3 linked regions of the Elephas maximus indicus genome follow. The protein of the gene in region 2 purifies or fractionates together with the protein of the main gene of each other region. This does not show direct contact. Links are inferred from orthologs where the notes say so. Each region holds a gene or a part of one and is shown on either strand. Other genes may lie near its edges.

Region 1 (9,391 bases), on a different chromosome or scaffold from region 2:
TCACCAACTTATTTCTTTTTCAAACATTACATATGTACTTCTAAGTGTGATTACGGACATTCACTCATTCCAGAAGGACTTGCTAAATACATACTGTATGCCAGGTACTGCACTAAGTGCTAGGCAAGAAGCAGTGAATACATTGTTATTATCCTCATGACCTGTGTGGATAAGTACCTAGCTTCAAACAAAAACCGTTGCCTGTGGAAACATTCATTTCCTCGTTGATTCTTATTTAATGATTCTATTCATTTTAAGTTATAAAGAATGATAAAGTGGCAATGTTAGTGAAGATTTACCAGACAGAAAATATGCTTAGTTACCTTATTTACCCGATACACAGTGTGAGAAGAGGAAAATGTTTGGAAAGACTAAGTTTTATTAACACCACAGCAGGAAACAACCTTATGCTTATGTTTCTTTATAGATCAGTGGGTCACACATAATTCAAAACTGACAAAAAAGCTGAATCTTTACATTAAATGTGTTCTTCCTGAAAATCCTTCTGTTTGCCAGTCTATCTTCAAGCAGTAAAATTTGATTATGCACCATCTTATATTTAATATGTCACATTTACATGGGGAAATAATGAAGGCACAGCTAACACAAGCTACTTATGAGCTGGGGGTGAGGACACACTTGGATTGGTTCTTCAAGAGTATATTTTTCCAAACATACTAGTTTCAGTGAAGAATTCTTATCATTTTCACAGCTACACTCTAAAAGCTACATGACAAAAAGACCTCACGAGGATCAAACTCCGTAACACTGGGTACACATGCTTTAGAGAATTTGCTGTATTCTACATCTCTTCAAGAAAGTGAATTCTTCAGAATCATAGGGAGTAATTTAATAAACTTTTTCACTTTTTTTTAACTTTCGTAAATAGACAGTACCAAGAAAACACATAAACATGAGATTGTAAGTAATGAATAAGTATTTTTAAGATATACAGGTTATATGTCTTCCTTCACTGATCCAGGTTGTTTCCCTAAATTCAGATATTCGAGAACATTCTTCAGAACTTGAAGTGGCAGTTTTCCTGGCCTCATCAACAGTAGTGTCATGATCTCCATCGCAGGCTTTCTCCTTCCCAACACTCTCCCCTGACGTGGAAAGCTGATCTCTGGGTTACACAGCCATCTTAAACAAAGATAACATTTTTCTTGGGCTCTGCTTTTTCTGCACTAGGAAATTTCAGGAGGACTAAAGGAATTGAAGAATTTAGCTCTGAGAATGTGTTCAGTCTCGGCTCGGTGTTCCATTTATAGTGTGATAGTTTGATGAATGGGTTTCAAATGGACATTCTTTATTTCACATCTACTTGACACCCTGTGTAAGCCTCAGTTTCCAATTTTCACAGAAGAAATCAAGAAAAAATATAGTTTTAACTGCTCTTCTTCAAACGCTTTTAATATATTTATTGTGTTCAAAATGAAAATCAAATCTTAAACTTGTGGGCTGGCCAGGACCTGATTGCTTCATTTAATATATTTTAGGGACATAAGAATAGGTTCACACTGTATTTTAGTCAAAAACCTGAGCCTTTTTAAAGTCCACCAACGTTCACAATTGTTTGTTTGGGGTTTCTTTTTTTTCTCCTTGGTCTTCTTTCTCTTCAATTTCTGCCACCTCTTATTTATCCGCGTCATCTGACACGTCAGAGTGAGGGTCCTCATCGTCCGACTCCTCCTCCTTTTCTTCCTCCACCTGCTCGTCCTCGTCTTCCTCCTCCTCCTCGGCCTCTAAGGTCCAGGCACATCCCTCCATTTCGCCGGTGAGCTCATGGATCTTGGCAAGTAAGGGCTTGTAGATGTCATTATACTTCTTTTCCAGAGCCTGGAATTCCTTATCAAATTTGGCTTCTATCTTATCGCATCGCTTCTGAAGCTTTTTGAGGGCAAGGACTCGGCATTTCACCGAGCTGTGCAGGCTCTCGAGAAAGTCATTTCTAGGCTTCGCCGCGTTCTCGGCCGGCGGCTGGGGCGCCGCCGCCATCGGCCCCTCCGCGCTGCCGTCGTCTCCACCCTGCGCGCCGGCGGCCGCCATCACCTCCTCCGCAGCCGCCGCGCTCGGCGCCGCAGATCCCGCGTTTGCCGGGTCTGCCGTGTCAGAGGGCAAGCCGCACGGGTCTAGGGTGCTCTCGCCGAGGCCCGGCGCCCGAGCAGGACCGGGCAGCACTCGTGGATGCGGCCGCGGCGAGTCGGCCTCGGCGGGGAGGAGCCGCGGGCGGAGGGAGCGGAGGCGGCGAGGGGCGGCCGGGCGGCGGGCCTGTGACGCGAGACCCGCACAAAAGGAGGCCGCCGAGCGGCCCCGAGGCCCGGAAGTAGACGCCTCGCCCGTCGCCTCCCCGACCCTGCGATTTCGGGCGGATCTCAGGCCCCCTTCCCATCCGTTCATGTTTGCGCACCAGCTGCGCGTCAGCCTCGGAGCTTGGATACCCAGATGACGCAGTCCGGGTTTCTGCTCTCAGAGACCTCACAGGGGAGTCGAACAGGAACAAAACCTCCCACTGAGGTAGGGGAGGTGCAGACACAGAGGTACATCCAAGACGCATGTTGGCACAGAAAGCGTGGCCCACAGAGCGTTAAAAGATCAGTTCTGTGCGCAGGAGGCGGCGGTGGGGACCTCACAGAGAAGGAGTCTTGAAAGAGAAGTAGGAGTTCATGCAAGTGGCCATTAAGGGACTCTTGACAGCGGTCATTCAAACGTCCTACTGCAGTTGGTCATTGCAGGCCCTGCTGTTAGCAGCGTTCCATCCAAGGGTATTCACCCGTTACCGTCACACAGAAAATCAGTAATAAAAACTGCCCGATGGAAGACTGTTTCATTGAAGGACAGCTTCACTCTGAATCGACTAGGCCATTGTTTCTCAAACTCCAACTTGGAAAAGAATCACCTGGAGAGATTTCTGGGTCCCACCCCCAGAGATTCTAATCCAGCAGGTAGAGTTGGGGCACAAGAATTTGCATTTCAGATGTGCCAGTCTGTGGAGACCACCCTTTAAGTAGCTCTGGACTGGACACCTTGTTTGATGGTATTAAAAAAAAAAAAAAAAACCCGATGCCCTCCAGTCGATTCCAACTCACAGGGACCCTATAGAACAGAGTAGAACTGCCCCATAGGGTTTTCAGGGAGCAGCTGGTGGATTCGAACTGCTGACCTTTCGGTTAGCAGCTGTAGCTCTTAACCACTGCACCACCAGGGCTCCTTTGTATAGTGATGATAATAAAGATTAAAAAACTAGTTTCCAGCAACCTTCTCTTAACACAGGTGAGTTTAAAAAATTTATAGTTTACTGACCTGTTGGTAAACCAAACTCCTTTGTTCCTCTGGTTGGGATCTGCCCCTTTTAATGGAACCAGGCTTTTACTTCTCTAGGGTTTGGGAGGTGGGGGTGATAGAAGCTTTTTATAAATATGCCAAAAAACAGATTCAAAGTCATTAAGAATATTTAATACATTGAAATACAGCACCCACCCTATTTCTCTCAGGGTCATAAAACAGTAGTATATCTCTACTTTCTAAACATTGAGGCGTTGGTGGCTCAGTGGTAGAGTTCCTGCTTTCCATGCCAGATACCCAGATTTGATTTCCAGCCCGTTTACCTCACGCACAGCCACCACCGTTCTGTCAGTGGAGGGTTGTGTGTTGCTATGATGCTGAACAGATTTTAGCAGAGCTTCCAGACTAAGATGAACTAGGATGAAAGGCCTGGCAATCTACTTCTGAAAAATCAGCCAGTGAAAACTCTGTGGCTCACAGTGGTCTGATCCCCAACCCCTCGTGGGGATGGAGAAGCATTTCATCTGGTAGTGCGTGAGGTCCACATGAGTCAAAGGCTGACTCGACAGGAGCTAACAACTTTCTAAACAAGTCATGTGCTTCTATAACTTTGTTCCACTGTGTAGAATGTCCTTCTCACCCATCTTCTGGCAAATTTTTTTTTTTAATAATTTTTATTGTGCTTTAAGTGGAAGTTTACAAATCAAGTCAGTCTGTCACATACAAGCTTATATACACCTTACTCCATACTCCCACTTACTCTCCCCCTAATGAGTCAGCCCGCACCCTCCTTCCAGTCTCTCCTTTCGTGACAATTTTGCCAGTTTCTAACCCTCTCTACCCTCCTATCTCCCTTCCAGACAGGAGATGCCAACACAGTCTCAAGTGTCCACCTGATACAAGTAGCTCACTCTTCGTCGGCATCTGTCTCCTACCCATTGTCCAGTCCCTTCCATGTCTGATGAGTTGTCTTCAGGAATGGTTCCTGTCCTGGGCCAACAGAAGGTTTGGGGACCATGACCGCTGAGATTCCTCTAGTCTCAGACCATTAAGTCTGGTCTTTTTATGAGAATTTGGGGTCTGCATCCCACTGATTTCCTGCTCCCTCAGGGGTTCTCTGTTGTGCTCCCTGTCGGGGCAGTCATCGGTTGTGGCCGGGCACCATCTAGTCCTTCTGGTCTCAGGATGATGTAAGTCTCTGGTTCATGTGTCCCTTTCTCTCTCGGGCTCATAGTTATCGTGTGACCTTGGTGTTCTTCATTCTCCTTTGATCCAGGTGGGTTGAGACCAATTGATGCATCTTAGATGGCCGCTTGTTAGCATTTAAGACCCCAGACGCCACATTTCAAAGTGGGATGCAGAATTTTTTCATAATAGAATTATTTTTCTGGCAAATTTTTATTCTTAAAGACCCAGTTCAAATGTCATCAGTGCAATGAACACTTTGCAAGATTCTCTAAGTGGAAATTGTTACTTCTTTCTACGTGTAACTATAATAGTTATCCCACTGCATAGTGCATTTCAGTGTCTGTATCTGCCTTACATTGTCACCTTCTTAATTATGGAGTCCAATTTTGTATTTCCCCTTGTCTCTGTACCAGTTATGGTGTCTGGTACACAATAAACACTCAAATGTTTGCTGAACGAGTGGATGAAAAATAAGTATAGACCTTGTGATAGGAGAGCCCTGGTGGTGCAGTGGTTAAGCACTGGGCTGCTAACTGAAAGGTCGGCAGTTCAAATCTACCAGCCACTCTGCAGGAGAAAGATGTGGCAGTGTGCTTCTATAAAGATTCACAGCTTTGAAAACCCTACGAGGCGTTGTACTCTGCCCTGTAGGGTTGCTGTGGGTCAGAATTGACTCGACAGCAACAAGCTTAGGGTCTACGTAAGGACCCTTGTAGCGCAGAAGATCTAAAACCAAACCCATTGCTGTCAAGTTGATTCTGACTCATAGTGACCCTATAGGACAGAGTAGAACTGCCCCATAGAGTTTCCAAGGAGCGCCTGGTGAATTGGAACTGCCCACTTTTTGATTAGCAGCCAGGGCTCTTAACCGCTATGCCACCAGGGTTCCTTGTGGCACAAGGTGTTAAGCTAAGTGAAAGGTTGGTGGTTCGACGCCACCCAGTGGCTCCATGGGAGAAAGACCTGGTGATCTGCTCCTGTAAAGATTATAGCCAAGAAAACCCTATGGGACAGTTCTGCTCTGTCACATGGGGTCGCTATGAGTTGGAATCAGCTCAACGGCACCCAGCAACAACAGTCTATTTAAAACCTCCATTGTTAGTGAATCCAGATTTTGTCACAACAGCCATTGCCTTCGTTCCTGAGCCACTGGGACTGACAGGCCATCCTGATTCCTGATGCTTCAGGGTGCCCGAGCTGCTTTAACTAGACTGATACTTGTTTTCTGAGGCACAGCTTATGCAGGAAAACTGACCCTGCTAACCAGCTGAGCAGATCTGCCTTCAGAGAGAAGAAAATGCTGCAGTGGTAGAAACAGTTAGGTGTTCTACTAGCTGAAAGACTGATGGTTCGAACCCACCCAAAGTTGTCTTGGAAGACAGGCCTGGCAGTCTACTTCTAAAAGGTCACAGCCTTGAAAAACCCATGGAGCAGTTCTAATCTGCATACATGGTGTCGCCATGAGTCAGAATCCGCTTGACTGCAGCGAACGACAGCAGGGTAGGGTTTCATGACCTACTTCCCTTCTCCACCCTGATTTTACACCTTTTTCTCAGGTACAGCCAAACCTGTGCGATGGGAGAGGCTTTAGTTTTCAATAATGACTTGGTTAATGATGGTTTCCTGAGCTCTGAGTAATGACATTCGGGGTTGATTGGGCAGAGTGAGTTGGACTTTTGGCTCTGCCATGTGGGGTTTTACAATCCTGGGTAAGCATTTAATTTGGCTGATTCTCAAAAGAATATAAAATGGGTACAAAACCTGCAGGTCCTTGTGAAATTCAAACAAGTGAAAGTTCAAATGGTTATGAACTATAACATACTGTACAAAGAGTACATAATTTATTATAGGAGCCCTGGTGGCAAAGTGGTTAAGTGCTTGGTTGCTAACCAGCAGGTCGGCAGTTCAAATCCACCAGCCGCTCCTTGAAAACCCTATGGGGCAGTTCTGCTCTGTCCTATAGGGTTGCTATGAGTTGGAATCGTCTCAATGGCAAAGGGTTTTAATTTATTATAACTTGTTACGTATTTTATATAATGTGCATTAATTTATTATAATCACCCCTTGAATGTACACAAAAGGGTACTTTATTATAATCATCATCTGAATATAGCCGTTCAGACATCTTTGTTGTTAGCGGCCGTCGAGTTGCCCCTGAATCATGACAGCTCCGTGCGCGATGGGATTGGACTCTTGTAATCTACAGTGTTTTCACTGGCTGATTTTCGGAAGTCGATCACCAGGCCTTTCTTCCTAGTCTGTCAGTCTGCAGGCCTCCACTAACAGTAGCGGTTGCACACGAGGTGTATTGGCTGTGAATTAAACCCAGTCTCCTGCGTGAAAGGAGAGCATTTGTTTATAAAAATTATTTGCCTTATGTGTTTTGGCTCTGTATGCCATTTTAAGAAACCATTATTTAAAGCTCACGCCCAGTTTGCTGCATCCTGTGCTTTACAAAATGTGGAAGACGAATCCAACTTCTGGAGTGTTCTATGTAACAAACTTGTGAGTCAGGCAGAGAGAGAGTGGGCTAGCCCTGAGTTGCCATATAGCAGAAGGGAGTTTGGGAGGTTTTGTTTCAACATTTAATTGTTTTGTGCTGCCTTTAGACAGCTGCTATTTGGAACATTCAAATGGAAATAAATTCTGCTTGTCCTGGTAGTCTAGAGAGGCATTTAGCTGCTTGAGTAACCTCATGCAGGACATCTGTTGATGACAACACTGGAAAAAATGTGATTGCCAAGACTCGGGTCTTGTCCAGAGGAGCTCACAATCTAACGATTGATAATGTAGGTGACTGAGATGTGGGTATGAAATAACTCAATTTTTAAAAATCTCGTTTCAACTGTTACCCACATGTGTCTAGAAGGCCAAGGAAAGTGAGACAGGAACAGGACAGAGAAAGAGGTTACTAGGGATGCTCAAGAGAGATATGTGCTGGGGAGGAAGAGGGGGAGGAAAGGGGAAGGGCTTCTCGGTCCAGAGTGGTCAAGACTAGAGTTGTTCCGCCATAGGTGCTAACCCCTTTCTAGGCGTCAGTTTCCCTTTATGCAGACAGGGTAGGCTAAATGTTCATTCCAGATGTAAAAGCCTCAGTTTTATGATATAGTTTTGAGAATAAATTTACTTGTGCGTGGCTGAAGGTTGTGGAGCTAGGATACTTGGGTTCAAATCCAGGTCCCCATTTACTGTCTGTGTGACTTTGGGCCGCTCACTGGACCACTCTTGGTTTGAGAGTCCTTCACACTGAGAATAGTGACTGGCAGAGAGCAAATACCAGTGTGTGTAAGCTGTTATCCCCCTTGACATAAGCTGATAGAATGTAGGAGGCTTTTAGAGCTAAGCCTTGGCAATATAGAAACTACTTTTTTTCTGCGTGATAGTAAAACAATAAAAAAAAAAAAATTTAGGAAGTTTTGCCCTCCCTCAGATTAAATCGCTGCCCCAGGGGTTTGCCAGGAGCGAGGGAACGAACTGAAGGGTTTAGGGTGAGGGGATTAGTGTTAGATTCCTCTGTAAGCTCTCTCCTTTTTTTTCCATCTGGGTTACCCTGTGATCACCTGGTAGTAAGGGTCTCCTCAGGTTTGGTTTGTAGCTTGTAAAGAAACACTTGGGTACTTGACTAAACAAATTCGTAATTCTGTAACAGATCGATTTTATCAGAGAAGGCCTGCTGTTACATAATGGTATCTGTCCACAGGTTGGCTTCATATTTCCCTCCAATGTTTTGCTGAGTGGAGAGGAGAGTGCAGCTCTACTCCACATGGAAGCCTTTGGGCCCCTGCATTTTCAGAGTAGGGGACAAAAGATTTATTCTACAAAAGCTATGCTGAGTAAAAGAAACGAAGGAGGAAGGACAGGGATAGGAAGAGTCCCTAGCCCGGGGGGTCTGCCAAGAGCCTGGAGCCTGATCAACTGCTTCTGCAAATTCAGGGCCTTGGGAGAGAGGACAACGGTGGCTAACATGAATTTGGGGGCAGTGGTGATTCAGTAGTAGCATTCTCATTGCCTGAGAGGGAGACCCAGTAACCTCCAGTGCAGCCACCACCCATCTGTCTGTGGAGCCTTGCATGTTGCTATGAGGCTGAACAGGTCTCCGTGGAGCTTCCAGACTCAGACCGACCAGGAAGAAAGGCCTGGTGATCTACTTCTGAATATCAGCCAGCGAAAGCCCTGTGGATAACAACTGTCCAATATGCAACCCATCATGACAGCAAAATTGGCTTGCCCTCTTCTTCACATTCTGCATATGGCCAAGAGCCTCCCAGAAATGGTACTCAGACAGCTCTGGCCTTTGATCAGAGTCGAGTTAGCAATCCAGCCCTCAGCAACCGAATGTTTTTTTTTCCTTGTCATCTGGGTGGCAGAGGAAAGAGGACTTTGATGCCTTGCATGATCTTTTCGCATCCTTACTGGGGGGTTTGGGGTGGGAGGGTGATGCTGAACAATTGAAAAGCAAAGTGGGTGGTAGGTAGAAGACTGAACACCTGTGGGATACCTGCCCTACGACCAGAAACTTCTGTGTGCTTTTCCATACCTTTCTCTCTATCTTCTCAGGCTTCTGATCATTAAAATTCACTACACCTATGAATTTTACTTCTCCAAGGAGCCTCTTTTGACCTTTACCGGTTACCTTTGAGTGGACTCCCACTCATGGCAACCCCATGTTTGTCAGAGTAGAACTGTGCTCCACAGGGCTTTCAGTGGCTGTTTTTTGGAAGTAGATCACCAGGCCTTTCTTCCAAGGGGCGGATTAGCCAGTTAGCATGGTGTGCATTGGCTTATGTAAGCAAGGCACACACGGGCTTAATTATGTTTACTTCTCTGTAGTGCACAATTTCACGTGAGTTTAAGCAGATCTTGACAAGGTGCCTCTGGGTAGACTCCAACCTCCAATCTTTTAGATAGCAGCCAAGCA
Region 2 (11,614 bases):
TATTGTGGCAATCAGCATTTGTGAACCTGTATCAATATCTTTTTTGAGAATGTAGTAGTACCTAAAGGGAAAAAAGTGATATATGGGAATTAAGACTTACAAGTCAACATTAGTACAAAATACATTACTGAGGATTCTGTATTGTCTGGGACCAGAGGAGGTCCATGGGGAGAGGGGGTGACACCAACCCTAGTGATGCCACTGTTTAAAAGAACAGTATGCCTTACCTAATCTACAGTCACCTCAGTTTTTTTCTTATGCTATACATACCTGCCCCAACTGTGTCACTCAAATTTCAACTGGCATAAAGAGAAACGTTATCTCCCAGATGGCCATTTGCTTCTAACACTCTATGAAAGGGAATCTCTCCTTTCATTGGCCCTCAATTAAGAGCTGCAGCTCCTCTGACTCTCCCTGACATTTGGTAAAACTTAACCCAGCCATTCAACGTTATGCATTAACAAACAGAAGCAATTTACTCACACAGAATAGGTAGGCCTAAGGCTAAGACACCATTACCTTACTATAAGTAATCTAACTCCATGAAAGAGGAACATATGACCATGACGAAGTGCTGTAACTTTTCCCTGGAGCACAGTAGAACCCAAGGATGTTCTTGAATTTCAAGCTGATGTATAGCAACCAAGAAAACTCCCTCTAAAATCCAATACACAATCAACACTTGAAATGTTACCTTCAATCACTAGCTATGTACCCTTGAAAAAGTTCTTTAACCTCTCTGTACTTCAGTTTCTTCCTCATTAAAATGTTAATACCTACCTCTAGAAGTATTAAAATGAGTTAAGTAGAAAATTTTAAAACAGTGCCTGAACTGACCACTATGCTATCTACCACTGTAGTGCTCTATTTCTATACCCTGCACCTTAAAAATAACCCAAAGTAATCTGTAGGTTAAAAAATTACAGCTCTCTTTTCCAATAAATACCAAAATGTTTAAAACTTAAGAACAGGGTTTTTTTTAAAAAAAAAAAAAGGCATCAAAATACGTAGCAGTGAAAGGAAATGGCCACTTTCTGTGGCAAGTCCAGTACTGTGCTCTAGTGATCTGCTGTCATTGTACTAAAATTACAAGGATGATTGTAAAACAAAAGCTCACCTTCCAAGACCCACTCTGCCCAACAAAGAGCTAATACTTCTTATTCAAATCAAAGTAGTCTGAAATGGGACTAAAAATGACCATTATAACAGGTTCCCTTGTGTGTAAAAAACCAAGACATGCCCTTGAGTCCATTCTGACTCATTGTGACCCTATAGGACAGAACTATCCCATAGTTTCCAAGGAGCACTTGGTGGATCTGAACTGCCAACCTTTTGATTAGCAGCCATAGCACTTAACCACTGCGTGTAAAGAATTATAAATACTTCTTCTATTTCCTCCTTCCCCTAATCTTTTTTCTGCGTATCACTAATCACAACTTGATATTTTATAATATATTCAGGCAACCAATTTGCCCGTTTTGCTCAAGATATAACCCAAAATCTACGATACACTACAAAACAGATGCTCGAACATTTACTCAAAGAATCAGCTACCCATTAACCCACTGCCATTGAGTCTCTTCCAGCTCAGAGCAACCCTACAGGACAGAGCACAACTGCCCCCATCTGGCTTCCAAGGAGCACCTGGTGGATTTCAACTGCCAACCTTTTGGTTAGCAGCACAGCTCTTAACCACTACACCACCAGGGTTTTAGGTTCGGTTAGACTTGAGGCTCCAAAAAGATTACTCATTACCACTTCTATATTGATAAGAATTCATTTCGTCTGATTTCTATCTTTCATTAATATTTCAAGTTTACAACCAAGCAATATTAACCAATCCCAAAAACCCATTGCCATCGAGTTGATTCCTACTCACAGCGACCCTATAGGACAGAGATCTGCTCCAATAAATAAGACTTCCAAGGCTGTAATCTTTATGGGAAAAGACTGCCAGGTCTTCCCTCCAGCAGAGTGGCTGATGAATTTGAACTGCTAACCTTTTGGTTAGCAGCTGAGCACTTAACCACTGCACCACCAGGGCTCCTTAATATTGAACAAAGCAAGCAAATATTTTATTTTATTCAGCAAGTATTTGAGTGCCTACCGTGTTACGTGCCAGGCAACATTCTAAGCGCTCAGCTCTTTAAACTTCCATAGATTTCTGTCTTACAAAATTCCATGTGATTTTTTTGTATAAACTACAATTCACTTGCATGATATTGTTGTCAGGTGCTGTCAAGTCAGTTCCAACTCATAGCAGCCCCATGTACAACAGGATGAAACGCTGCCTGGTCCTGTGCCATCCTCACAATGGTTGCTATATTTGAGCCCACTGTTACAGTCACTGTCGATGTATCTCCTTGAGGGTCTTCCTCTTTTTTACTCACCCTCTACCAAGCATGAATGATGTCCTTCTCCAGATAATATTGTCATCAATTTTCATGTGGGTAATCAGGGAGTAGAGAGAAGGGAAAATATATAAAACGCTTTACAAAGCTAGTTGGTTAGATCTTTTGGATCTGCCTTTCAGTCCCTTCTCCTACAAAAGAGCCCTTTATTCTAAATATATTTCTCGTAATTTAGCATAGAACCAGTCACCTGAATGCAATATGGGTTAGAAACATCTTGGATTAAATTAGTTCTGGTACAGCGCCCCCCATCTCATTACAGGACAATAACAGCCACATGTCATATTCAGTATTAGCTTAATAATTCTATCAATTAATGAGCCTAATACCATCAACAGGTACAATGATTTTCAAGTTGCTATGGTGAAAATTTTTTAAATGACATTTATCAAATTAACAAAAAATACTGACCTGAAAAGAGAACCAACCAAATCAATAATGACAGATGTCAAAGTCCAACTATCAATGTTTAGTTCCATTTATCCTCCAAAGGACCAGCCTTCTTAGAGCTAAATTATATATACAGTTCAGATTTGAACTCAACCTCAAACTAGCCTAGAACTTAATAGTCCCTGAGGATCACTGTAAACCTCATTTATCGTCTGTCGGTTTAAAGGGTTATCCTGTATGTAAGGTTTTTCCCTTATGCAATCAAAGACAATGTGTACCATTTCGTTAGTAAAACAATTAAGTAGAGGATTAATAATATAAGCTGACAAGAAACAAAAACCCAGATACTAGTCTGAAAAGATGTTTTGCTGTCATCTACGTTTCCAAAATGGTAAATTCCAAGGTTTCCTGAAACCAGGCATGAAGCACAAGTTTCTGAGACTTTTAAATTTAGTCGTTTCAAGCCTAATGATCTGACAATGACGTCTAGAACAGGAGTGAGCTCCCTGAGGACACATCCTGCACCTGGTTTATCCTTTTTTCTTCCGAAAGGTTGGACCTCAACCTCCGTCTCCCTTCGATGACCCTTTTTTTTTTTTTTTTTTTTTTTGAGGGAGAAGTGGAGACATGGACAAGGTACCGGCCTACAAACTTGGCTCAAAAAACGTACATTAAATGCTTCATTCCATCCCATACTTCCCCCACTCATTCTTATTCACCTTAAAACCAAAATGGCTAGTTAAGTATCTTATTCTAGAAACTTCGATAAAGGAAGGAATTTGTTAAAAAAAAGAAAAAAAAAAGGGGGCAACAGAAGTCCTAGAATAATGAAAGACCTTTACAGGGCCAAATGTTTTATGTCCATCTTAGAATTGCTTAGGGGTTTCATTAGGGTCAACCTTACCTCTCCAACTAAAATACCCTGATCAATACGCCATCAGGTTCTGTGCTTGGGAGTACACAAAATAATCTTATGTTAGTAATAGCTAGCCATTCTTTAAAATCCTAGCAGTGAAGACCCTGCCCCGCATCATGCATAAGCTAACACTGATACTTCCCTCCGGTATCAATAAAAAGATTAAGACCAAAGAGAAGCGGAAAAGAGGTTGAAACCTCCGGACTACACTTACTTGCTCACTATTCATTTTCACATCCCACCATCTCTACGATTTACAGTAAAAGGACAACCCAGACCAGGGGCTCCTATCAGGGGCAAACAGCGGCCGCTCAGCTCCTTACCACGTGTCGAGGGAAGCCGCGCGGGGCTTCCCCTCCCTAAGCGGCCACCGCCTCCAGTGGGCGGAGAGCCTGTGAGCCCTGCAGCATCTCCCGCCCCTCCCTGCCTCGGGGCCTCCTCCCCACACAACCCCCCTTCCCCCCCCCCCCGGAATTCGCAGCCTTCGCCGTTCTTTTCAGCCCCCTCAGCGGCCTCCCTTCGGGATTAATTTTGAGAGAGAAACGGAGGCGCCAATGGTGGCGAGTTCCGCACCCTGAGCAACTCCCGCTCCTCTGAGGAGCTGCTGCCCACTCCTCAGGGCGCGCGGGCCCCGCCGCGGCCTCACTCCCGTCCGCGCGAAGAAGCCGGTGGGGCTACGGCAACGTCTGCGCAGAGAAGCGCGGCCACCCGCCTCACAGGCCGCGCCGACCCCGGCTCCCCACAAGCCGCACCGAGCCCCGCGTCTCCTCAGCGGTCCCTGGAAGAAGGGCTGCCCAGCCCCGGTGCCCCCTCGCAGGCTGTGGGGCCGATAACAAGAGTGTGGAGGCCCAGGCGCCAGCAACCGCAGCTCTCGGTTTTCCGTCCCTTCGTCCCTCCCTTCCGCGCAAGCCACCCGCCGACTCCACGTCCCCCTTCCTTTTTTAGGCCCCCAACCGTTACCGGCGGCTAGAACGGGGAGCCAGGCGGCCGGAGTTGCGCAGGCAGTGACTCAGGGCGGCAGCGGCAGCGGGAGGAGCAGGAGGCGGCGCCGCGAGCAGATGGCGCTAAAAAAGACCCGAGAGCCCGCCGCTCGCGCTCATATACAATTAGCGTCAGCACGTAGGTCCCGCTCCGCCGCCCTCCCCCCGGCCTAGCCGTCTCCTAGTAACGCAGCGGGAGGCGGGCTCAGGCCAGGTTGCCTAGCAACAGAACCGTCCTTTACCCGCGACCTCCGCAACCTTGCCGGGGATTCTTCCCGCTGGCTGCGGAGGGCCGCGCTTCGGCTCCTTGAGTTCCCGCCTCCGTCCCCTAACAGGCGCCCCGCCATCGCGTTGCTCCCCGGTACGCGGGAAAGGAAGTCTCAACCCCATCCTTTTGCGGAAGGAGCCGTGATCCCCACCAAGGCCTGGGCCTACCTCGAACCCTTGCGGCGTCATGCCGGGTTGGAGGGGGCCGAACTGGCCCAGCCACTGCGTTCCCAGCCCGCCGCATCTTGCTTCGTGCCCACCTCAGTTCCCATCCTTTTCCTGGCCTAATTCCTGCAACTCCTCAGCCCCCAATAACCCTTTTACCTCCTCCGACTTTTTCACTGGGAACAACAGTTCGTTCCTCGTGACCACCTCGACGGGTCAGAAGCCCGTTTTTTTTTTCTCAACTCAGAGGTCTCGGGCCATCCCGGGGTGCTCCTCATCGCTCCCCCTCTATTCCTTATACCTGACTTGTGAGCCCTCATTTATGATTTAGTTCTTTTGATGGAGAAAAGTGGCATATTTGTGTATTCTCAGGATGCTTTTTAATGAGAACACTCGCTTTTTAATCTTTCTCAAGCCTGTGAAGCCTCCTGCCTATTCTTCAGTCGATGCTGGATTAACTAATATTAACTCTTACAACAGTGATTCTCAAAGTGGCCTGAGAGCCACCGAAACTCTTTGAAGAGAGAAGTCCAAGCTACTTTCATAAGGCAGCAGATACTCTAGCTTACTGTGTCTGGCATTGTTCTAAACGGCTTACACTTGAAACGTTTTACACGTTTTAGCTCATATTCACAGTAAGTCAATGAGGTAGGTACTGTTATCACTATTTTATGGATGAGGTAACCAAGGTAACAGGTTAAGGGCAAAGTTGCAATCAGTATAGCAACTGGTTGTTATGGATTGTATGGCGTCCCCGCAAAAGATATGTTGAAGTTTTAACCCCTGCATCCGGTGGATGTGACCTTGTTCGGAAATAGGATCTTTGAAGATGTTATTAACCTAGCGTGGTTATACTGGAGTAGGTTGGGCCCAATCCAATATGACTGGTATCCTTACAAAAAGAGAAGAGACAGAGGCAAGGATGCCATGTGAAGATGAAGGCTGAGATTGCAATCAGGCTGCCAGAAGACAGGGACCACCTGGTTTTATCAGAAGGGGAAGAATCTTCCCCTAGAGTACTAATTTGCACTTCTCACCTCGAGAACTGTGAGAAAATACATTTTTGTTGTTTTAAACCACCGAATTTGTGGTAATTTTTTATGGCAGCCCTCGGAAACTAATACAATTTCTTATAATTCGTCCCTTTTAAATGTGGTGCTTTGAACTAGTTTGTAAATTTAAGCTTTTACTATCTAAGTCCAGGGAAGGCACATTATTGATGCATCTGTTTGATAAACATATGTCAGGCACCACTTAAGACACTAGAAATACAACGATCAACAAGAAAGACAAGATTTTTTTTAAACATTTTATTGGGGTTTTTTTGGTGAAAGTTTACATAGGAAATTAGATTCTCATTTTACAATATATATATTGTTCAGTGACATTGGTTACATTCTTCACAATACATCAGCATTCTCGTTATTTTCATTTTGGTTGTTCTGTTTCCATTAATCTAGCTTCCACATCCACCCTAGCCTTCTTGTCTTTGGTCTAGAGTAAACATTAACCATTTGGTTTCATCTAGACAATCATTTGGAGGAGCGCAGTACTGACAGGTAATGTTATTTATTTTATGGGCCAAACTTTTGGCTAGTAGTCATTTGGCTGAAAGGTGATCTCAGGTAGTGGTTTGAATTCCAAGTTTAAGGAGTATCTCAGGGCCATGGTCTCGGGGGGTTCGTCTAGTCTTTACTGGTCCAGTAAGTCTGACCTTTTTTAAGAATTTGAGTTTTGTTCTACATTTTTCTGCCCTTCTCTCCAGGACTACCTAACAAGTCCCTGGTTGGAATTGTCAGAGAAAGACAAGATTCTTGACTTTATTTAGAGTTTATGTTCTAGTAAAGTATGGCAAATGATAACCAAGTAAAATAATTTCAGTTATTAGGTAAAAGAGCTATTAAGAAAATAAAATGAGACAAAGGAGTAGAAGGTGACTGGCCCGAAGATACCGTTGAACAAGTCCTCTTTTAAACCCCCAAAATCACACAATGTAGTTAGCTCATCTAATTTAATTACAGTAAAGGGTGATTCTGGTCACTGATCTTGGACTCAGTTGAAGTTGCATTTTTCTTCATCCCTATCATTTTCATTTGGTAGGTTTCTTTGTTTGTTTTTTACAGCATTGTAGCTTAGTGGTTTAGAGGTATGACTTTTGAGTAATGATGCCCAGGTTGCATCTCTATTCTGTTGCTGTTGGTTGATGGTGTTTTTCATCAAGTTGTTTCCAACTCACGGCAATTCCATGTGTGCAGAGTAGAACTGACTGCTCCTTAGAGTTTTTAAGGCTGTGACCTTTTGGAAGCAGATCTCCAGGCCTATCTTCCAGGACACCTCTGGGTGGGTTTGAACCACCAAACTTTTGGATAGTAGCCTAGCACTTAACTGTTTGTGCCACCCAGGGACTCATCCCTATTCTACCACTTATTAACTGTATAAATTTGAATGTGTCACTTAACCACCCTAAGCATCAGTTTTCGCATCTGTAAAATGGGGACAATAAAAGTGCATTCCTCATCAGGTCGTTGAGAAATTTCAAATAACACATGTAAATTGCTTAACATGGTGCTTGACACAATAAACATCAATAAAAGTTAACTATTATCAACCTCTTACTGAGGTTTTATTTTTGTTTTATTTTTTTAAAAAACTCTGCAGTCGTCTAATAGTACCTGACACTATTTTTAGTAAAATATTTTATTAAAAGCTATCTTGTCACAAATTTTAAAACATGTTTTCCTGAGCTGAAATAATTCATACTAATTATTGTAAAAATATTATATTCAACAGTTCTAAATATTGGTTACAGCCACTACAGGAATCAACCAGACAAGATGATAATAGAAACGGTACCTTAAATGTGCTTATGTCTGTACTTCAGCCCTTACGTAGAAGGAAAGAACACAGGCTTTCAAGCCAAACAGGCATAACAGGTTCATCCTCAACACTCTGACCTTGCAAAATAACCCACACTGAGCCTCAGGCTTCCTCATCTCTAAAATATATTAATAACTTGAATAAAACCTCCCTCTTCTTTTTTTTTTTCCTTCGTTAGCATGAAATAGAAAAATGTGTATAAACCCCCAGAGTAATGACTTGCATTTCAGTTATTCAATAAATGTTTATTTTTTCCTCCTTCCAGTTGATCAGTATGCAAAAATCATCAAAAAACTGTACAAGATACATTTATGTAACATATTGCCGTAGTGTTGAGTCTTGTTGGTCGGGTTTTTTTTTTTTTCCCCAATTTTTTTCAAATTAATCTACAAATGTAATGTAAAATCAGTCAAAACTCGAATAGGGAATTGTGGACAAGGTGCCTTGAATTTTGTCTTCTACATCCACAAAAGGCTTAATAGGCATTTTTTGGTTTATTTGAAAACACCTTTATTTTGCCTTTTTTTTTTTTTGAAATTTTTATTGAGATAATTGTAGAGTCACATGCAGTTATAAGAAATAATAATACAGAGAGCTATTGTGTAACCTTTACTGAGTTCATCACAGTGGTGGTGGGTTTTGTGTCGTTAGGTGCTGTCAAGTCGATTCCGACTCATAGCGACCCTATGTACAACGGAGCGAAACACTGCCTGGCCTAGCACCATCCTCATGATGGTTGTTATGCTTGAGCCCATCGTTGCAGCCACTGTGTTAATCCATCTCATTGAGGGTCTTTCTCTTTTTAGATGACCTTCTACTTTACCAAGCATGATACCCTTCTCCAGGGACTGGTCCCTCCTGATAATGTGTCCAAAGTATGTGAGATGAAGTCTTAACCATCCTTGCTTCCAAGGAGCATTCTGACTATACTTCTTCCAAGACAGAATTGTTCATTCGTTTGGCAGTCCGTGGTAAACATCTTGCAAAACTACAGTACAATAAATATCACAATCTGGATAGTGACACAATCCATAATCCTTTTCAGATTTCCCCAGTTTTACTTGAATCCATTTGTGGGTATTTGTGAATTTAGTTCTATACAACGTTATCATATGCAGAGCGTCATGAATCTACTGCCACAGTCAAGATACAGTTCCAGCACTACAAGGATCCCTTATGTTGTCCTTTTGTAGTGTTTGGATTTGTCTTTTTTTTTTTTTTGACATGCCAAATATGGTTCTGTCTTTCCAGATTTTATTTATTTATTTTCTGCTTTCTTGTAAGTAGACCACTTAGGTAGAAAATAATCCATGCCTTGGCTTGGGTCATCAATATTTCTTACCTGGACCATTTGCAATAACCTCAGACTAGCCTAATACCAATCTCTTGTTCCTCTGCAATTTACACTGTAAAAGCTTTTCTTCTAAAATACAACTCTAATCAAGTCTACTTTGCCATAAAACCTCCTCAATGTCTACAGGACAAAATAAGACCTACGAAGCCCATCCCAATATGAATTTGTCCCATGTTCTAGCTATACCTCCTCCTACCCACTGTCATGAACGCTATACGACTTTGAGTACTCACCAGACCCTCAACACACAAGGTGTTTTATGCCCTCTGATTTCCCCTCCTATTTTTCCTTCAAGATCTAGCTCAAATCTTATCTTCTCTGAGGAACCTTCCCTGATTCACCAAGGCCGAACTGGATGCATTCCCGTCTGTGTTTCAGACAGCTCTTACATTACTAATGAGCCCATGCTCCCCTCTGCCCCACATGCAAGAGACCGTTAGTTGCTGTAGGGTGGTATACTTGTTTTGTAGACCCCCGGCTTGGATAATGATTGGCAGGAAAAAGACCTTCGATAAATGTTTTATTTGAAAGAATAAAGCAAACAGAAGTGGGGAAGGAAGGAAAAGGGAAGTGAGAAAGGAAAGAAAGAAGTTATTAAAAACAATAGGAAGTTATAATACGTTATGTAAGTAGTCCTTTTTCAAATACTATTATATATCAGTTCTATGTTTATCATAGAATCTATATAAGAAAATCTTGTCAATCTAATCTATGCAGGAAGATTTTGTCATTCCCTGTTCGGATATTGTTTTCTTCATCCATAAAACCAGCTGCTGATAAAAAGAAAGCAGATATTGAAATTTTGGGCATCATAAAAAAGACAGTAAATTATATGTGTAATTTGGAGAAAATCTGAGTGTCTCTTATTGGGAAAATGGATAGTGAAATTTTAATACACATCATAGAATATTACAGCATTCAGTATACAACAGAGCACCAAATGTCATGGCAACATAAATGAATCTTAAAAATGCAATGCTTGTCAGCTATCTAAGATGCATCAGTTGGTCTCAACCCACCTGTATCAAAGGAGAATGAAGAACACCAAGGACACAAGGCAATTACGAGCCCAAGAGACAGAAAGGGCCACATGAACCAGAGATTACATCATCCTGAGACCAGAAGAACTAGATGGTGCCCAGCTACAACCGATGACGGCCCTGACAGGGAACACAACAGAGAACCCTGGAGGGAGCAGGAGAGCAGTGGGATGCAGACCCCAAATTCTCAAAAAACCAGACTTAATGGTCTGAATGAGACTAGAAGGACCCCGGTGGTTATGGCCCCCAGACCTTCTGTTGCCCCAGGACAGGAACCATTCCCGAAGCCAACTCTTCAGACATGGATTGGACTGGACAATGGGTTGGAGAGGGATGCTGGTGAGGAGTGAGCTTCTTGGATCAGGTGGACACTTAAGACTATGTTGGCAACTTCTGCCTGGAGGGGAGATGAGAGAGTGGGGGGAGGGGGTTAGAAGCTGGCGAAATGGACACGAAAAGAGAGTGGAGCGAGAGAGCGGGGAGAGTAATTGGGAATGTGTAGTAAGGTGTATAAGGGTTTTTGTGTGAGAGACTGACTTGATTTGTTAAAGCACAATAAAAATTATAAAAAAAAAAAAATGCAGTGCTTGCAAAATCAAAACCACAAGGAGATACCATTACAGACTATTAGAATTGCTTAAAAATCTTGACAGTACCAAATGCTAGTGTACTGTAGATGCAGAACAACAGGAAATCTCATTCATTGCTGGTGGGAGTGCAAAATGGTACAGTTACTTTGGAAGACAGTTTGGCAGTTTCTTTTAAAGTTAAACGTATACCTAGAATATGACCCAGCAATCTCACTCCTGGGTATTTACTCGAAGGAATTGAAACCTATGTTTACAAAGAAAAAAAAAAACCCTGCACAGGAATGTTTATAGTAGCCTTATCTCCAATCAACTGTATGGGGCACTTCTACTTTGTCCTATAGGGTCACTATGAATCGGGATTGACTAGACGGCACTGGGTTTGGTTTTATTTCCAATCACAATAAACTTGAAATAACCAAGATGTCTTTCAACAAGTGAACGGATAAACCCTGGCGCATCCATACAATGGAATACTACCCTGAAATAAAAAGAAATAAGCTGTCGATTGACTTAACAATGTGGATGAATCTTAAATGTATTTTGCTAAGTGAAAGAAGTCATGTAATTCCACCTATATAGCATATGAAAAAGTCAAAACTATAGGGATGAAAAACAGATCGGTGG
Region 3 (10,607 bases), on a different chromosome or scaffold from region 2:
TTAGTGACCCCACATGACAGAATAGAAGTGCCCCATAATGTTTCCTAAGCTGTACTCTTCATGGGAGAAAATCGCCAGATCTTTTCTCCAGCTGAGCAGCTGGTGGGTTCCAAATGCTGACCTTTCAATTAACAGCCAAGTGCTTAACTATTGAACCATGAGGGCACTTTAGTGTACTGGTTAAAGCTCTAGTATTTGGCATTGCACTAACCTGGGTTCAAGTCTCCCCTATGCCATTCTCCAATTGTTTTGACTTGGGCAAGTTACTTCCCTAACACCCTGATTTCATTCTCTGTAAAATGAGGCTAATGCTACTATAGAAGAAATGTAAGTCCCTCAAGAGTAAGGGTCTTCTCTGAAGAGGTGCCTAATACATAGCTGGTGCTCAATTTCTGTTGAACAGCCAGTACTTACCTTATGGGCTTATGCCAGGGATGACAAATTGAAGAGGAATGGCATCACATTCATCATCAAAAAGAACATTTCAAGATCTATCCTGAAGTACAATGCCGTCAGTGATAGAATAATATCCATACGCCTACAAGGAAGACCACTTAATACGACTATTATTCAAATTGACTCAGCAACCATTAATGCCAAAGATGAAGAAATTGAAAAATTTTACCAACTTCTGCAGTGTGAAATTGATCAAGCATGCAATCAAGATGCAATGATAATTACTGGTGGTTGGAATGTGAAAATTAGAAACAAAGAAAAATCGTTAGCTGACAAAAATGGCCATGGTGATAGAAACGACAGACTGCATGATAGAATTTTGCAAGACCAATGACTTATTCATTGCAAATACCTTTTTTCAACAACATAAATAGCAACTATACACATGAACCTCACAGTATGGAATACATAGGTACCAAATTGACTACATCTGTGGAAAGAAATGATGGAAAAGCTCAAAAAAGTCAGAACAATGCCAGGGGCTGACTGTGGAACAGACCATCAACTGCTCGTGTACAAGTTCAAATTTAAGCTGAAGAAAATTAAAACAAGTCTATGAGAGCCAAAATGCGACCTTGACTATATCCCACCTGAATTTAGAGACCATTTCAGGAATAGATTTGATGTGTTTAACACTAATGACTGAAAACCAGACAAGTTGTGGGATAACATCAAGGATGTCATACATGAAGAAAGCAAAAGATCTTTAAAAAGACAGGAAAGAAAGAAAAGACCAAAACGCACGTCAGAAGAGACTCTGAAACTTGCTCTTGCATGTAGAGCAGCTAAAGCGAGTGGGAGAAATGATGAAATAAAAGAGCTGAACAGAAGATTTCAAAGGACAGCTTAAGATGACAAAGTAAAGCGTTATAATACAATGTGAAAAAGGCCTGGAGTTAGAAAACCAAAAGAGAAGAACACGTTTGGCATTTCTCAAGCTGAAAGAACTGAAGAAAAAAATTCAAGCCTTGAGTTCCAATATTGAAGGGTTCTGTGGGCATCAAAAGGATGTGGAAAGAACACACAGAATCACTGTACCAAAAGGAATTGGTCAACACTCAACCATTTCAGGAAGTAGCATACGATCAAGGACCGGTGGTATAGAAGGAAGAAGTCCAAGCTGCACTGAAGGCATCGGCTAAAAAGAAGTCTCCAGGAACTGATGGCTTACCAATTGAGATGTTTCAACAAATGGATGTAGTGCTGGAAGTGCTCACTCATTTATGCCAAGAAATTTGTAAGACAGCTATCTGGCCAACCAACAGGAAAAGACCCATATTTGTGCCCATTCCAAAGAAAGATGATCCAACAGAATGTGGAAATTATTGAACAATGTCATTAACACTGCACAGAAGTAAATTTTTAATGAAGATAATTCAAAAACAGTTGCAGCAGTACACCGACAGGGAACTGACAGAAATTCAAGCTGGATTCAGAAGCAGATGAGGAATGATGGACATCATTTCTAATCTCAGCTGGATCTTGTCTGGAAGCAGAAAATACCAGAAAGATATTTACCAGTGTTTTATTGACTATGCAGAGGCATTTGACTGTGTAGATCATAACAAATCACAATAATATTGCAAAAAATGGGAATTCCAGAACACTTAATTGTGCTCATGAGGAGTCTGTACGTAGACCAAGAGGCAGTCATTTGAACAGAACAAGGGCATGTTGCAGGGTTTAAAATCAGGAAAGTTGTGTGTCAGGGTTATATCCTTTCACCATACTTATTCAGTCTGCATGCTGAGCAAATAATCTGAGAAAGCTGGACTATCTGAAGAACTCCACATCAGGGTTGGAGGAAGATTAATTAACAACCTTTGATATGCAGATGACACAGCCTTGCTTGTGGAAAGCTAAGAGGACTTGAAGCAGTTGCTGATGGAGATCAAACATTACAGCCTCCAGTATGGATTGCACCTCAACATAAAGAAAACAAAAATCCTCACAACTGGACCAATAAGCCACATCATGATAAACGGAGAAAAGATTGAAGTTGTCAAGGATTTCATTTTACTTCGATCTACAATCAACACCCATGAGAGCATATGAGAGCAGTAATCAAGAAATCAAATTACAAATTGCATTGGGCAAATCTGCAAAAGACTTCTTTACGATGTTAAAAAGCAAAGATGTCACTTTGAGGGCTAAGGTGTGCCTGACCCAAGCCACGGTATTTTCAATTGCCTCAGATGCATGCAAAAGCTGGAAATGAAAAAGGAAGACAGAAGAAGAGTTAATGTCTTTGAATTATGATGTTGGCAAAGAATATTTAATACACCATGAACTGCCAGGAGAGCAAAGAAATATGTCTTAGAAGAAGTACAGCCAGAATGTTCCTTGGAAGCAAGGATGACAAGACTTCATCTCACGCCCTTTGGACATGTTATTAGGATGGATCAGTCCCTGGAGAAGGACATCATGCTTGGTAAAGTAGAGGGTCAAAGAAAGAGAGTAAGACCCTCAACAAGATGAATTAATACAGTGGCTACAACAATGGGCTCAAGCATAGCAACGATTGTGAGGATGGTGCAGGACCGGGTGATGTTTTGTTCTGTTGTGCATAGGGTCGCTATGAGTCGGAACTGACTCGATGACATCTAACAACAACAACACCTTACAAGATTGTTCTGAGGAATGAGTCAATGTACAAAGAGCAGGGAAGATGTGTGTTAGTCCAAAAAGTGGGTGGCAGATTTCCTCATTTATGGAAAATTTAGCTTTTATTTAACAAAATGGAGCCATTACGGTTGTGGAAAGTTGCCCTCAGGGCTTAGAGTGATACAAAATGAATTAAATTGCTTTGCATATAAAAGGAAGGAAAAAGCTGAGATTCCACCAGCAGCTCAAGGGAGAGACTGGACATGGAAAGGAGGGGAACTGAGAAGTATGTTGGGGGAGAAAAAGGGCTCAACAGGAATGACGGGTGGGGCTCAAGGAGAAGGAACAATGGTGGGAACGGTTGAGGAAATTTCTGCAACAGGAAAGTCTGATGTTCAATTTTAAATTGGTTGCTATACTGTGCTGTACAACTGTCATTCTCCAAGATCCATCTGTTTTTTGCACAGGCCGAATACTTGAAAGGGGATGTCGTGGAAATCACCACCCCTGCAACTTTTAAGTGGATGGTGGCAGTAATCTCTGCAGTCCCTCCAGGAATGCGGTGTTATTGGTTTACCATTTTCCTTAGACGGCGTAGTGGTTAAGAGCTATGGCTGCTAACCAAAATGTTGGCAGTCAAATCCACCAACTGCTCCTTGGAAACCCTATGGGGCAGTTCTACTCTATCCTATAGGATCTCCATGAGTTGGAATCTTCTTGATGGCAATGGGTTTTGTTCGGTTTTTTGATAGCATAGATACAGCTGGTCTCCAGGGCCCTTCTCTGGGCCCCATCTCTTCTAACACTACAAATTCCTCCTGGTTGCTCTTTCCCTTCCCATGAATTAAAGTGCCATTCATATATTGATGATGCCTACATCTATAACCTCAGCCCAGACATCTCTCCTGAGCTTCAGACACGTATATTCAATGGACTGTGGAACATTTCCACCTGGATGTCCAACAGGTACCTCAGAATCAATGTTCAGTTCCTCTTAAACTCATTCCATTCCTCCTTCAGCATTCTATGTCTCAGTGAAAGGGATTACCATCCAGTTTCTCAAATCAGATCCCCAAGAGTCCTCTTTGACACCTTCCCCCTCCTCACCCCTCTCTCCATACCAAGCCTAGTTGCTTTTTTTATTTGTGTAGTATCTTCTTGATTCAATCTCTTCTCACTACCTCCACTGCTACCACTCTAGGCCAAGTCACAATCATTGCTCACTTGGATGACTGCAAAGGTCCTAACTGCTCTCCCTGTTTCCAGGAAGACATCTAATCCATACTCCATACAGCAGCTAGGGTCTTCTTTCTAAAACATAAATCTATGTCATATCCATGCCTAACCCGTTGCTGAGTTGATTCCAACTCATGGTGACCACATGTGTGTCAGAACTGTTCTCCATAGGGTTTTCAATGGCTGATTTTTTAGAAGCAGATCCCCAGGGCTTTCTTCCAAGGCACCTCTGGGGGGACTCAAACCTCCAAAGTTTCTGTTAGCAGCCAAGTGCGTTAACCGTTTGCACCACCCAGGGACTCCATTGATTCCTAGAACTCTTCAATAACCCCTCTGGGCTGTCAGGATCAAGATCAAAGTCCTTACCCTGGCATTCAAGGCTTGCCATGATTGGGAAAAGATGGGAATTTGGGGGAGCCAGAACTGGAAGAAAAGGAGGGGTTGTGCCTGTGTGAAATAAAGCTATGTGGATAAGGGAGAGAACCTAGGAGGCATGAAAGTTATGAGCTGATATGACAAACTTGGAGGAAGCAGCAATTCAAAGAGAAAGAAGACAGGAAAAGAGAGGCCCACCTTGAATTCTTGGGAAATGTGTTTGTGTGTGTGTTGAATTATCCATAGATCATAGGAACTCATGATATTGTTTAGTAAAGGAAACAGTGACTTCATAAAGCATAAGGACTTGTAGCCATTTGAATTACATATGGATGTAGGAAAGGTATTGAATATTGTTTCCGTAACTGACCACTGTGCTGAATTTTATTATTATTTCTAATAGTTTTTAGTTGATACTTTTGGGTTTTCCAGGTAGGCATTCATATAATCTGTCACTAAGGATAGTTTTGTCTATTTTCCATTATTTACACATCTTATTTTGTTCCCTTTAAAAGACTTATGTGAAATTAATATGGTAAAATCGTCATTTCAAATCAGTAGGGTAAAAGATGGATTAGTTTGCATATGGTGTGGGGATAAGGGATTACGACTGTGTAAAATAATAAAGTGGAATCCCTACCTCACTCCTCATACTAAAACAAATTTTGGAATGATGAAACATAAATGTAAATAATAAGGCCATGAAAAGTACTTGGAAAAAACAAAGATTTATAATATAGAAGTGTAGATAGCATCTCTAAGCACAATGAAGAACCTAGATGTGATCAGGAAAAAAACTGATATATTTGACTACATAATTAAACCCTTTTATACAGCAAAAATTATCATAAATAACATGAAAATATTTGTTATATATGTGACACATAAACATATAAGAATTATTGTTCATGGGAATATTATTTCATGAATCTTTTTGGGAGTAAGTTGACAAATTATATTAAAATGGAAGACTTTTTTGTAGGACTTGAGTTAAAAAATACCGTAAATAACCAAATATTTGTAATATATATGACATAGAAACATGATAGTGTTGTTGGGACTATTATTCAGTTTAATCCATTTGGGGAACAAGGCTGCAAATCTTGTATCAAAATGGAAACCTTTTTTTTTCTAGCATTTGACTTAACAATTCCACTTCTATAAATTTATCCTACAGATACAAGCACAATTGCAGAAATATACACATATAAGGATGTTCTTTGTAGCCTTGTTTGTAATAGTAAAAAAAAAAAAGGAAACAATTTAAATGTCCATGCATAGTGGACTGGTTAAATAAATTAGGAGACACCTATACAAGAAAAGATTATACAATTGTTCTAAGAAAAATGTGTAGTAACACGGAAAGATGTTCAGACTATGTAGCTAGAAAAAAAAACAGGTCACAACAGTAGGTATAGTGTACTATTTGTGGGGAGAGAACTCAAATAATTAGTATATGAATAGAAAAAAATCTGGGGGAATGTATATCAAAACGTCAATAGTGGTTATTTCTAGGGGATACGATGTGGACAGTTATTCACTGGTATATTACATATTTCTGCATTATTTGAATTTTCACAACGCATTACCTTTGTAATAAAAGAAAATAAAGATATAAAAATAAATTAATTCAATGAATTAATTGCTCTGAGGGGTGGTTTTGGTTGGAAGGGCTTCAGACCAAGCACCGTACAGTGGCATAAAGACGCGCTTTGGCGTGAGACAGCCCTGAACCGGGCCCCATTGCCCCACCTCCAGGAGGGCGAAGTGGGGGAGGGTGGCAGGGGGCTGCGGAAAGGGGCTGGGCTGTGCTTGCTGCAGCTCTAGTCCAGGAGGCTGAGACTTCGAGAGGGACTGAGGGAGAGCAGACGCATCCCAGACTCGCGGAGGACAAGGTGAGAGGCGTTGGGATTGGGGTTCCCTGGTAGCCAGACTGTAATTCCGGTCCTCTCCATAGCCAGGCAGGTGGGCAATTCTTACTGCACCCCTGCAGCTGGGGGAGAGATGACCCTGGGAGAGAGTGGGATGTAGGCAACAAGGACGACTGAGAGAGTAATAGGCTGTGTGGACTGGGAAGCAGCGACGAGAGGGGAGAAAAACGGGGAATCCGGCATCTTGGGTTGGGGACCCGGGATATGAGGGGGAGGGGAATACCGAGGGGGAATGTAGATCCAGAGAAGAGATGCCGAGAGGGGTTAGGGAATAATGGGGGGGGGGAGCACGTTAAGTAAGGAGGAGGAGGATGTACGAAATGGGAATAGGGAATTTGGTGGGGCAACAGAAAAATGCGATGGGGGAATAAGGAATACAGAGCAAAGCGGAGGGGGAGAATTAAGAATGAGGACCGGGGGAGGGGCAGACAGGCTGGGACGGAAGCCCCCTAGGGAGGCGGAAAGGGGCGGGTCCACTTCCGGCAAGGAGGAGGGAGGGCAGTCTCCGAGTTTCGGAGGGGCTTGGAGAGAGCGGACGCACTCGTAGGTTGTAGGAGAAAGAGGTGAGCAGGGGGTCCAGCTTTGGATCAGAGCCGGTAAGGGTTGGCCTTACTCTCTGGGAGCTGGAGAAAACCTGCCGTAAGGAACGGATCATACCGGATCCGTCTGGTAAAGGAGGGGACTGATCCAATTTGGCTGGGCCCAAGATAGAATCACTAATACTTATTTGAGGAGGGGGTGTATTAGGGAAGGGGCGGAAACAAAATGCGCTTTGCTAGAGTTGGGGGGGACGTTTTATGGAAAGGGGCGGGACCTGGAGGCACTGTTGGTGAAGGGGGTGTGAGTTGGGTAGGGGCTAGGATCACCAGGCTCTGTGATAGTTCGGAGGGAGACTTGCTGGGGAAGGAGCGGGCCAAATGGTACTGTGGACCTGAAGAGGGGCGTGTGTTGGGAAGGGTGCTGGACTGAGACGGTGAACGATGCGCATGTGTAGTATGGATCTCTAGAAAGGGGCGTGTAGAGAAGGGCCTGCACGGGGAAGCGCCAGCTGCTGAATGCGCATGTGCGGGGTGGACTTCGAAGAAAGGGCTTATGTAGGGAAAGCGGGCGGGGCTGAAATGGGCCCAGCTGCAGACACGCATGCGCACTAGCATGCGCACTATCGACCTTCACGTTCGTCTCGGGTTGCTTTGGGAAAAGGGGCGGGGTCCTCAGAGCTGCCGCGCTGGCACATCTTCTGGAGAAGGGGAGGGTGCGGTTGTAGAGAGTTAAGACCTTAGACGCTCTGGATTCCTGTGTATGAGAATGGAGCCGTTGGAGGGGTGGTGGAGGGGGGAGACTTGGGATTGGAGTCCAAAGAAGGTGAGGATCAGCCTCCAGGCAGAATAGGGGAGAGGATGTTCAGTGTTCTTTGGGAGCTCCCCTTGACCCAGGCCTTCTCCCCTTCAGGCTCAGCTCTTGCCAGGCCAACTTGAGACATGTCTGACACAAGTGAGAGTGGTGCAGATCTAACCCGCTTCCAGGTAAGCTCTCTGACCTCTTCCCAGCTTCCTTCTCCATCCCTTGTTGCTGTCCCAAATTCCTTGGCCTCTCCAGTCCCATCCTTGTTCTTCTCCATGCACTTCCCTGCCTGGGCTCTGTCCTCTCCCATCTCTCCCCCAGTGGAGAAAGGGAGGGAGGGTCCTCCCTTCTTTGGTAGTCAGTTCCTGCTCAGAGGAGGCCTTGGTGGGCTGAGGTGGTCAGAGAACATTGCAGGTAGGAGTTAGTACAGGTCACAGAAGTGCGGCTATGGAATTTTGGAGCCATTTGCCTAGTTGAGGGTGGGGAGGAGATCTGTGAGCTTCCCTGCTTCCTCTTTTTGCAGGCTGAAGCTTCAGAAGAGGACAGCAGCTTGGTGATGCAGACTCTACTGGCAGTGACCCAGAATTTGGAGGTCTCAGAGGCACCCAAGGCCTCAAAGACACCAGGGGTCTCACAGCGCCTAAAGGTCTCAAATGCTCCAGGGGGTTCAAAGGCCATAGAGGTCTCAAAGGCCACAGTGGTCTCAAAGGCCCAAGAGGCTCAGGAGGCAGCTGTCACCCATACCTCACCTACCCCTCAGCTGACTGATACCCAGGTTCTGGTAGCTGAAAACAGCAGTCCAGCAGCTGACACCAAGATGCAGAATGCTGACCTGCAGGGTGTGCCAATGCCTGCCACTAAGACCAAAAAAGTCAGTTGTGTGGCTAATACCCAGGTCAGTACAAAGTCCCTGGAGACAGAGGTTGCTGCTTCTCAGGCTCCCACAGATGAACCTGAGCCTAAGGGTACAGCTACTGAGACTCAGGAGAATCAGGATACTCGGCCCAAGGTCAAGGCCAAGAAAGCCAGAAAGGTAAGAGCTCTGCAATCACTACCCTTGCCTTTCCAGAGTTACTAAGTTGCCTGTGTTCATCAAAGCCGTAGGGCATACTGAGAGGAATGTGATATAATTCTTGTCTTCAGAGAGCTCACAGACTGGTGGGAAGATGACACATGAATATGCAGAGCTGCAGTCTGAACGTAATTTAGTTTATATTTACCTAGTAGCAAACATAAGTTAGGCCTTGAGCTAGGCACGTTCATACAGGTTATCTCATTAAATCTTGAAAGTAGATCTTACCAGCTAGGGATCATAATCACAGTTTTAAAGAGAAGGAATCTGCCTCCCACAGAGGTGAAGTGATTTGTCCAGAGTGATGCAAGCAGAGCTAGTAATGAACACAGGAAGAGAAGAAGCCTCAAGCCCCACCCTTGGGTTGTTTCTGGCCTGGTTGGGAGATAAAACTGCCTGGAAGACAGTGAAAGACAAGCCTACGAGACAGGGTAACAAATGGCTAGTGAGTCAGGGCATTACTACAGGGGTGGGATTAAGGGGGCTTCCTGAAAGAGAGGGCGAAGAAAAAGGACCATCTGCTCCACTTAGTCATGTCGAGCCTCTTCTTTGTTGATGCAGGTGAAGCACCTGAATGGGGAAGAGGATGGCAGCAGTGACCAGAGTCAAACATCTGGAAACACAGGTGGCCGAAGGGTTTCAAAGGCCCTAATGGCCTCAATGGCCCGCAGGGCCTCAAGGGGCCCCATAGCCTTTTGGGCTCGCAGGGCTTCAAGGACTCGGTTGGCTGCTTGGGCCCGTAGAGCCTTGCTCTCTCTGAGGTCACCTAAGGCCCGTAGGGGCAAGGTTCGCCGTAGAGCTGCCAAGCTCCAGTCATCCCAAGAACCTGAAGCACCACCGCCTCGGGATGTGGCCCTTTTGCAAGGGAGGGTAAGAACTCTTGTCCTCTCCACTACGCCTTTTCCACTACCTTACCTGTTTTCTTCTGTGGCATGCTTTTAAATATTTTGCCAACATATACTGTTCTTCCCATCATCTTTCCTAGGCAAATGATTTGGTAAAGTACCTGCTGGTTAAAGACCAGACGAAGATTCCTATCAAACGCTCAGGTAGAGTCCTGCTTATTTCCTCCCCAACCCCAAGCTCTGCCCTCCTTTGCCCTCCCTTCCATGTGCTAGGGATAATCCTTGCTCTTATGTTCCTACGGCTGTGCTCCCAAAGTCCTAATTTGTCCGTGTTAGCATCTTTATTCATTAGCCCAGAACCCTGGCTATGCCACCCACAGCAGCGTTGGTAAAGGGCCTATAGCTTGGGCATGGGGGGCTTCCTGGCTTTTCTTGAGCCCAGGTGCTTGTAACACTCTCCCCTTGCAGATATGCTGAAGGACATCATCAAAGAATACACTGATGTGTACCCTGAAATCATTGAACGAGCAGGCTATTCCTTGGAGAAGGTGAAGGGGCAGCCCTGGGGGGTGGGCACAGTGGAGAAACCTTGAATTAACAAAGGTACACGTGTCCCTTATGGAAGGGATCACAGAGACTCGCTAATCCAGCGTGCAGATGGTCAGGCTGGCCTATGGAGGGGTATAGATGAGCCATAGATGACACAGCAAGTCAGTGGTAAAAGCACAGCTAGGACCCAAACCACTC

Evidence for each region. Proteins that work in one complex are often made in the same cells at the same time.
Region 1: the proteins of NAP1L1 (region 2) and NAP1L5 purify together in Homo sapiens (affinity purification with mass spectrometry; 3 studies listed by BioGRID and IntAct, counting the BioPlex papers as one, with this or other methods). This does not show direct contact. The link is inferred for Elephas maximus indicus from reciprocal best matches to the Homo sapiens genes NAP1L1 and NAP1L5.
Region 3: the proteins of NAP1L1 (region 2) and MAGED2 purify together in Homo sapiens (affinity purification with mass spectrometry; 4 studies listed by BioGRID and IntAct, counting the BioPlex papers as one, with this or other methods). This does not show direct contact. The link is inferred for Elephas maximus indicus from reciprocal best matches to the Homo sapiens genes NAP1L1 and MAGED2.

Annotation. Positions count from the first base shown.
Region 1 is NC_064841.1:27,699,218-27,708,608, forward strand, and holds NAP1L5 (nucleosome assembly protein 1-like 5), read right to left. Parts: upstream 2,570-9,391; 5' UTR 2,401-2,569; coding exon 1,636-2,400; 3' UTR 1,634-1,635; downstream 1-1,633.
Region 2 is NC_064822.1:138,214,104-138,225,717, forward strand, and holds the start of NAP1L1 (nucleosome assembly protein 1-like 1), read right to left. Parts: upstream 4,803-11,614; 5' UTR 4,678-4,802; intron 1-4,677. UniProt on the Homo sapiens protein: Histone chaperone that plays a role in the nuclear import of H2A-H2B and nucleosome assembly.
Region 3 is NC_064846.1:113,001,154-113,011,760, reverse strand, and holds the start of MAGED2 (melanoma-associated antigen D2), read left to right. Parts: upstream 1-6,474; 5' UTR 6,475-6,566; intron 6,567-7,078; exon of another isoform or gene 7,079-7,165; intron 7,166-7,192; exon of another isoform or gene 7,193-7,271; intron 7,272-7,858; exon of another isoform or gene 7,859-7,964; intron 7,965-8,051; 5' UTR 8,052-8,080; coding exon 8,081-8,125; intron 8,126-8,466; coding exon 8,467-8,976; intron 8,977-9,576; coding exon 9,577-9,885; intron 9,886-10,000; coding exon 10,001-10,064; intron 10,065-10,328; coding exon 10,329-10,408; intron 10,409-10,607. UniProt on the Homo sapiens protein: Regulates the expression, localization to the plasma membrane and function of the sodium chloride cotransporters SLC12A1 and SLC12A3, two key components of salt reabsorption in the distal renal tubule.